Linked DNA regions of Neurospora crassa OR74A. The protein of the gene in region 1 interacts with the protein of each later gene in a biochemical or structural test. Links are inferred from orthologs where the notes say so. Each region holds a gene or a part of one and is shown on either strand. Other genes may lie near its edges. The genes, in order: NCU02558 and mak-1.

Region 1 (3,917 bases):
ACCGATCCAAGCATTTGGATGACCAGGGGTAGCATCGTCAGTCGTCGCACTGTGACAGCGACTTCAACCTCAACCAAGCTATGGCCAAACGCACATGTGCTACAACGCGCTGAGAATTGGTTAGCAGAAGGCAAAAGGAGACATATACTTGTTGAAATCAACACTGCTGGCAAAGCAATTCGTTCGTTTCATTATCAATGGTGAGCCGGGATGGTTGAATGGGTGATATCAGATCGTTCCGGCAAATTAGTGCAGGCTTTTGATCGACATCCATGTTGCGGAGCGAGGTTAGCTCGAGGTTAGTCAATTCATCAAGCAACGAAATATGTCGTACCCTATCCCCCCTCGTTGCATGTCATTGAACCCTGGTTACACCGACAGTGAAAGACGCACGCAATCTTTTGGAACGACTCCGAGCAGACATTGCGAGGGGGCGTTCTACTGGGAGGTTAAAAGGCTTAGTTTTGTGCACGTGAGGGGCGTTTCGGGGGGTAAAACGAAGGAATGCTTTCACAAACGCTCTATGTTTCATCCGCAACGAAACAATCGGCTTCTTAATCGATCTTCGTACTACAACCCAAACCTTGCATTCTTGTGTCTTCCCCAGGAATTGACCAAGTCGAAAGGCGTCCTTTGTTGTCCTGAAAATCCAAGCCTAGGTAAATGCGGCTCGATTTTCCACGGGGACGGGCTAGTCTAAACTCTGTTTACTGTGCATCGGATGTTTGTCACAGCCTCACAGTGTCCCTGAAGCGTGAAGCGAGATGGCGTCGGCTGGCTGACGGAAGGGTGTCAACCAGTTGCGGGGTGTTTTGGGCTTTCACGTTCGTCCTCTCGTCCAAACTTCCGGCGCAAATACAGGCCAGAGTAGGACGTGCCAGATGGGCAGAAGAACGAAAACCAACGCAATGGACCCTGTCGGGGATGAGAGATGAAGGAGAGCCTTGTCCGCCAAGACCTGACTCGTGTGTCCCTCGACTTCCTTCGTTGTGATTGCCCGCAGTTGATGTAGGTGTCCCTTGGGTGGTGTGGTATCCACCTCGCTCCGGCTGCTACAGTACCTAGTGTACACTACATAGGTAAGCACCGTGGCACCCACGCTCCACGGCAGGGCACCCAAGGGACCGGACCCTCCACCCCCCTCCACAACCTACGGTAGTGGCTTGAATGGGTAGCCCGTCCGTCAGTTCATCCCCAGCCGAACTGTGTGTTAGGAGGTACTAGTGCAGCGGTGCCCCAGGCCCTGGGCTCTCCCCCCTTCGCGCACTCCCGTCGCTCGTCTGTCCTCTTTCCCCCAACTTGCGTGTGAACGTGAAGAAGACGATCTATTATTAGCATCATCAAGCCAGCCTCATCTGCATCGACCGGCGCCGCAAGGTACTGCAGTACTACAACGTCTTCGAACATCCTTTGCATTGCTAGATATTTTATATCCAGATACCGGCTGCCGACGAAGAGCTGGCGACCTTGCCGGTGGTGTTGACGACTTCACTCTTCTAGCAGACGTCCTCCCCGAATCCTCCATTAGCAGCACATCCAGCTTCTGCATCAATTTCGTTGTCCTTGGCCATCGATAGGCCTTTGCTTGTTCTTTCACTGCAAGCGTCGACATAGTGCCAGTCGCATATATATGCCAATCGTGCCTCCACAGCATCATCGGATCGAATCACTCCCGTTCCGACCCGAGGACCGCATACTCGGCGCTGTCAACTACAAACATCCGACGACATCCCGACTTCCCAACGCGTTGTCTCACCACTCACACGTTGCTGTTTTGTCGAATCCATCGTGTTGATAACTGATACAGAATTCCACTTCCGTGGCCCCGATAAAATCACACCTGTATTGATCTGATCGCAGTGCTCTGCACATACACCTCGCCAAGATGGGCAGGAGGAAGATAGAAATCAAGGCCATTAAGGATGACAGGAATCGCTCTGTGTAAGCGTTCAACCTCGGTGGAAAATGCTCCATTGTAGCTGGTACTGATGCTCCGGAACACACAGAACATTCTTGAAGCGCAAAGGGGGGTTGTTCAAGAAAGCCCATGAGCTTTCCGTCCTGTGCTCTGTCGACGTTGCCGTTATTATCTTTGGCAACAACAAAAAGCTGTACGAATATTCATCCAGTAATATTCGCGATATATTACAACGATATACCTACGTAAGCAGACCCCAAGAAGATTGTTTTTTTTCGACATCAAGTACTTACCATGATACACCGTACAGCACGGAGGACCTAATGAGCACAAAGGCCCTTCCGATTTCAATGGTGGCGCCGACGACGATGACGACGATGACGAGAATGGGACTAATTCGCAAGGGGAACAACATATGATGTACCAACCAAACCCGCCAGTTTCATACCCCTTTCTCCGGCACACAAGTCTGTCGGACTCACCCCCAGTACCAAACGGCGCGTTCGGGCCCCAGCCGGGACATCAAATGAGCCGCGCCCATACTCCCCAGCCGCCCTTCGTCGCTCGGCCACCATCTGTCAACGATATCCGAAGGCTGAGGCCCGGGCAGCCGGTTCGTCCTGCGGGAGTCGCCCAGGAACTTCAAAATAGGAGCGCCTTTGTGCCATCGCCTCCCATCTACAACTCACAACCACCTGCTTCCATGGCGCCTACTCACGGTCTTCCCACACAGCTGCATCCCCAGTATCCCTTCCAGCCGTCTCAACCACCTGCTCATTCCATGCAACAGTTCGAGGACCAGAGAAGATCGCCTCTTCCTCCGACTTTTGTGTCTCAACCACCACCACATCCAGCACATCGCCATTCTACGTCCCCGCCTGAACTTCTCCAACCGCAGATCCCGCAGCAACAAGTACATCGCCATTCTGCCTCTCCTCAAGTTCACCAAGCCCAGCTTCCACAGCAGCCGCAGCGGCTACCGAGCGCAAATATGTCGCCTCCTCCGCCACAGCCAGCTCAACCGCCTCAGCAGCAGCAGCAGCAGCACCGTCACCAGCAGCAACAACCTCAGTCTATGCCTAATCAAAACCTTCAACCTCCTGCACCGCCAAAGCCAGAATCTATGGAGAGACCACGCCGGCTGATCCCCGCGCTGAATACGTCGGTCAAGAACCCTGGGCAGGGCAGTGTTTTTACGCCAATCGAACCAGAGAACAAGTCTATTCTGTCACAGCATTTTGCCGCGTTCCGTCCAGAAATCAAGTCCGAGTCGCCGAACAATCGGTCGCAGTCTGTCGATGGCGGTAACGTATCTAAGCCTAATACCTCTACACCATCTATCCAGCTCTCCAGTGCACATGGCCAGGGGTCAGCTCAAAGAACGAATTCATTGACGGTAATCTCACAATCGACGCTTCCTCCGCCATCCCGGCCCCAACACCTACGTGTGGGAGGTGGACCACTGCGACCGCGGCTTAAGGTGCAGATTCCGGACGACTCGGATAGCGGAAGCGCTGCTGGATCGGCAAGTTCTCCTCGTGTTACAACCACAACGGACTCCGCTCCACAACCGCTAAAGACCGGCTCTGTACTTCCACCACCGTCACCATCGGCCTCCAATCTACCTTCTGCGGGTGCCACAGGACCACCTAATCCCTTTGCCCCTCGATCAACAATTCAGCACAACAACAATATGAACATTGACACTCCCGTTTCTGCTCTCCCATCTCGATTTCTGGGCGATCTGCTGCCTAGTCCCAGCAGATTCTATCCTGAATGGGGATATGGCATCAGCGCGGAGAGCAACACGCTTCCTAGTCCATTGAACTTTGCTACACCTGTTAATGGAACCGGGCCATCGTTCTTGAGAGACGATCCCACTCCACTGAAGAGGAAGAGCCCCGAGACGAAAAGTACTGGGCCCGAGAATGACACTGGGAACAATCAAGATGCTAAACGGATGCGGCTCGAATCTTAGGTCGACCCCGTCATCTCTTTC
Region 2 (3,917 bases), on another chromosome or scaffold:
GGTCTTTCAATTCGGTGTTGTCCGCAAACCGTCACCTTGACGCCCTCAGTTAAAGCCAAGATCTGCCGAGGCATAGTGTACATGGACAATCAAACTTTATGATTTTCCACCTCGTTTAAGCAGCAAGCAACGATCCGTAAACAATGCGTTCCCCCTTCGAACTCATCGAGATGATGGTAGTGATGATTGCGAATCTTTTAGACGCCGGCCAGTGGGGAGGCGGCCGTAGTCGCGCGCCAAAACCAAAAATGGCCGCCGGAGGAGGGTTGCAAATCACAGCGGGGACGCAGCGGGTGGGGTAGAATCAGGTACCGTTCCCTTGTGATTTCCGCTGTGGAGTGACTTTGCAGTAACATTTGTTGACTGGGCAAGGGGAGACCGCCGCCCAAAACAGGCGCCCCCAAGCCAGGCGATCCCTCTGTTTGAATTCTCGGTGTGTTTTTGTTTTGTTTCAAGGCGGCAAGCATTATGGTAATGGCCTTGTTCTGTTTCGACGGGGGGGTGGTTTTTTATGGCTTTATAGTTGTTAATGCGATGCTCACGGGCCTAGATTTCATTGCATTCAAGGATGAGAGAGGCCGCCATTGTAAGCAATGGAAACTACCTAAGTCTTGGACGAGTTAAACGTTCAGCAATGAGTAGGTACTTAGTACCCCTGGGCAATGATGGATGGGAAAGTGGAAAGAAGGACAGGAAAAGAGGCAACCAGCGACAAGCCTGAAAACGGCCATCATTCGTCAGGAACCGACAAGCCGCCATTCGTCAGTCACGTTGGTTTGTTGCACTTTTGCGCCCGCTGACATTGGCGGGCTCTTGGGAATGGAAGCGGACCCCGCGTTGCCTCACAGACAGCCCCTCGCTCAGGTCCCGTTCTGGTGCCGGGATCAGCGCAGTGGTCGGTCGCATGGTCGGGGTCCCTCGGCGCCCCTCTTTCCTCTCCTCACCATTCCAGTGTCCGCTTCGAGCCCAGGGGACCTAGGTAGCCACTGCACCATTGAGGTCCACGGCCAAGCAGGTCCTTGACTTCGCTAAACACGAGCTTCTCTTCAAGCTCTCCCCTCGTCACTGCTCGTTTTCCACTTTCAATGATATCCATCGTCGGTTTAAACAACCTAAGCTGCTCGAATCCCGTCTCCATTGCTTCTCTTAAAATACGCCAACCGTAAACTAGCAATCAATAGCACCAAGTTGAAGCCAAAGCGCAAGCTCAGCTCCGGCCCAGTCAGCAAATTGCCCGAGTAGGTGGCACACATATATCCCATCACGCACTAGACTACAGTATCCCAGGGGCTTCCGACTCTTCAGTAGTGTACTTGTGCCAAGGACCACCCTACCCTCTGCAAACCTCATTTGATCATCACCACTTTTTTCCTCTTTCTTTCTTTCTCTCCATCTCTGCCTGGCTTCAATGCTACATTAGCCGGTTGTCTATTGCCTTGCTCCCGCCTTTTCAATCTACATCTTACTTTTGTCCCGTATACTCTTCCTCGACACTTCTCAAATACCCCCGTCCGAACTTCTCAAGACATTGATCGCGCTTGAGCTTACATACCCCACGACACCACCTCCAGGCCGTTGCCAAACTTGCGCCTAAAGGTCACCCGAACCACCTCTCTCTCCAACTACGAACCGTCCCCGAAACACCACACAGACACATTCGCCATGGCTGATCTCGTGGGTCGCAAGATCTTCAAGGTCTTCAATCAGGACTTTATTGTCGACGAGCGCTACACCGTCACCAAGGAGCTCGGTCAGGGAGCTTATGGCATTGTCTGGTACGTCCACCTGCTCCTGCTCCCGTTCCTGCTTAGCCGCTTGTGCTTTTGGGCCGCGGCGCATCTACATGTGTCATGCCATATTCTCATGATTCAAGCTGACCTCCCTTTCCTCCTAAACAGCGCCGCCGTAAACACCCAGACGAACGAGGGAGTCGCCATCAAAAAGGTCACCAATGTCTTCAGCAAAAAGATCCTAGCCAAGCGCGCCTTGCGCGAGATCAAGCTCCTCCAACACTTCAGGGGCCACCGTAACGTAGGTTGCTCACATACACATATTACAATCGATGCATGGTAGCTGACCGTGGCGATTTCTGGTTCTTTAGATTACCTGCCTCTACGATATGGACATTCCCCGGCCAGAGATGTTCAACGAGACCTATCTCTACGAGGGTACGTCATGGCTCATGCCTCACGAGAAGATGGGCCTACATACTAACCTGGGGGTTCTTTTGCAGAGTTGATGGAGTGCGATCTTGCTGCTATCATTAGGTCCGGTCAGCCACTTACAGACGCCCACTTCCAGTCCTTCATCTACCAGATTCTTTGCGGTCTCAAGTACATCCACTCGGCAAACGTTCTGCACCGTGATCTCAAGCCCGGTAACCTGCTGGTTAATGCCGACTGCGAGCTCAAGATCTGCGACTTTGGTCTTGCGCGTGGTTTCTCCGTCGACCCCGAGGAGAACGCAGGTTACATGACGGAGTACGTTGCCACGAGATGGTATCGTGCTCCTGAAATCATGTTGTCCTTCCAGAACTATACCAAAGCCAGTATGTCTTTTCCTCAAGCTGCCCCCTTGATATCGTTTTCAGGCTAACACTCATTCCTTAGTTGATGTATGGTCCGTTGGCTGTATCCTTGCCGAGCTTCTCGGTGGCCGCCCATTCTTCAAGGGCAGAGATTACGTCGATCAGCTGAACCAGATCCTGCACATCCTCGGCACACCGAATGAGGAGACCCTCTCCCGTATCGGCTCTCCTAGAGCTCAGGAATACGTCCGCAACCTGCCTCCCATGCCCAAGAAGTCCTTCCAGCAGCTCTTCCCCCAGGCCAACCCCGACGCCCTCGATCTCCTCGACCGCATGCTCGCCTTCGACCCTACCAGCCGTATCAGCGTTGAGGATGCTCTCAAGCACCCCTACCTTGCCATCTGGCACGATGCCAGCGACGAGCCCGACTGCCCTACCCCCTTCAACTTCGACTTTGAGGTTGTCGATGATGTCGGCGAGATGCGCAAGATGATTCTCGATGAAGTCTTCAGGTTCAGACAGCTTGTGCGCACCGTGCCCGGTGGTCAAGGACAGGGCGGTGCTCAACCCCAGGCTCCCGCTCAGGTGCCCATGCCTACTGATGTGCACAGCCAACAATGGACTGCTGAAGATCCTAGGCCACATGAGTATGGCGCGTACAACGGTGGCCTGGAGGCCGAGCTTGGTGGCATGTAAGCAATGACGGAAGGATGAAACCTTTCTATATACGATAATGAGAACGAAACGCTGGTTCGGCAAGCATCTGATGCTCAAACACATCTTGGGTTGATGCCTTGGCTGCAAAAAACAGAAAAGACGACGACATAGTATTATCGTGTTGGAAACCCCCCGAGAAGGGAACGGCTCGCCATTGAGGCGGTCTTCAATGACAGAGTGGGACAGCAGTTCTGGTCGGGCTGTCAACAGTCAGCCCTAGGAAGGCACTTGGAAAAGCAGGCGTCAGAGGCAGACCGGGAGTTCTTTTCGATGTCTGGCCAGATACCAGAGGGTGGTGAGTGGCTCACCGGAGAGACTCTTTCTGTATCTCATTCTATTCTCCTAGTCAGGAGGGAGGACTATGACTAAGTGGAAAGTTGAAGCGATCTTCAGCGAGGACTTTGGAGCGAGATGTTTACGTTGTCATTTATAGTCATAATTCTATTGGATACGCTGAATGTTGACACTGCAATAAAGCTCTTGATCGTGGTGGCGTCGTCCAGAAGAGTCCATGGTCACGCAATAAGCCTGGCATTTGGAATGGCTTTTACTGATTCTCCTAAGGTATCTATCTCGAGGTATCTAGTCCCAACCCCTTATTTTATGTGACCGTATGTATACTTTTGTGAGCCCAGATTAGTACAAAAAGCCAAAAAAGAATGTTTGAACGCCG

Evidence for each region.
Region 2: of the proteins of NCU02558 (region 1) and mak-1, one has a biochemical effect on the other in vitro, tested with the Saccharomyces cerevisiae proteins (2 studies listed by BioGRID). The link is inferred for Neurospora crassa OR74A from reciprocal best matches to the Saccharomyces cerevisiae genes RLM1 and SLT2.

What each region holds. Positions count from the first base shown.
Region 1 is NC_026501.1:2,729,970-2,733,886, forward strand, and holds the start of NCU02558 (MADS-box MEF2 type transcription factor), read left to right. Parts: upstream 1-1,226; 5' UTR 1,227-1,885; coding exon 1,886-1,941; intron 1,942-2,006; coding exon 2,007-2,163; intron 2,164-2,228; coding exon 2,229-3,896; 3' UTR 3,897-3,917. UniProt on the Saccharomyces cerevisiae protein: May function as a transcription factor downstream of MPK1 that is subject to activation by the MPK1 mitogen-activated protein kinase pathway. Binds to the DNA sequence 5'-CTA[TA](4)TAG-3'. At least some RML1 target genes are involved in cell wall biosynthesis.
Region 2 is NC_026505.1:5,920,179-5,924,095, forward strand, and holds the start of mak-1 (mitogen-activated protein kinase MKC1), read left to right. Parts: upstream 1-994; 5' UTR 995-1,662; coding exon 1,663-1,775; intron 1,776-1,898; coding exon 1,899-2,031; intron 2,032-2,101; coding exon 2,102-2,168; intron 2,169-2,233; coding exon 2,234-2,548; intron 2,549-2,609; coding exon 2,610-3,223; 3' UTR 3,224-3,917. UniProt on the Saccharomyces cerevisiae protein: Serine/threonine protein kinase involved in a signal transduction pathway that plays a role in yeast cell morphogenesis and cell growth.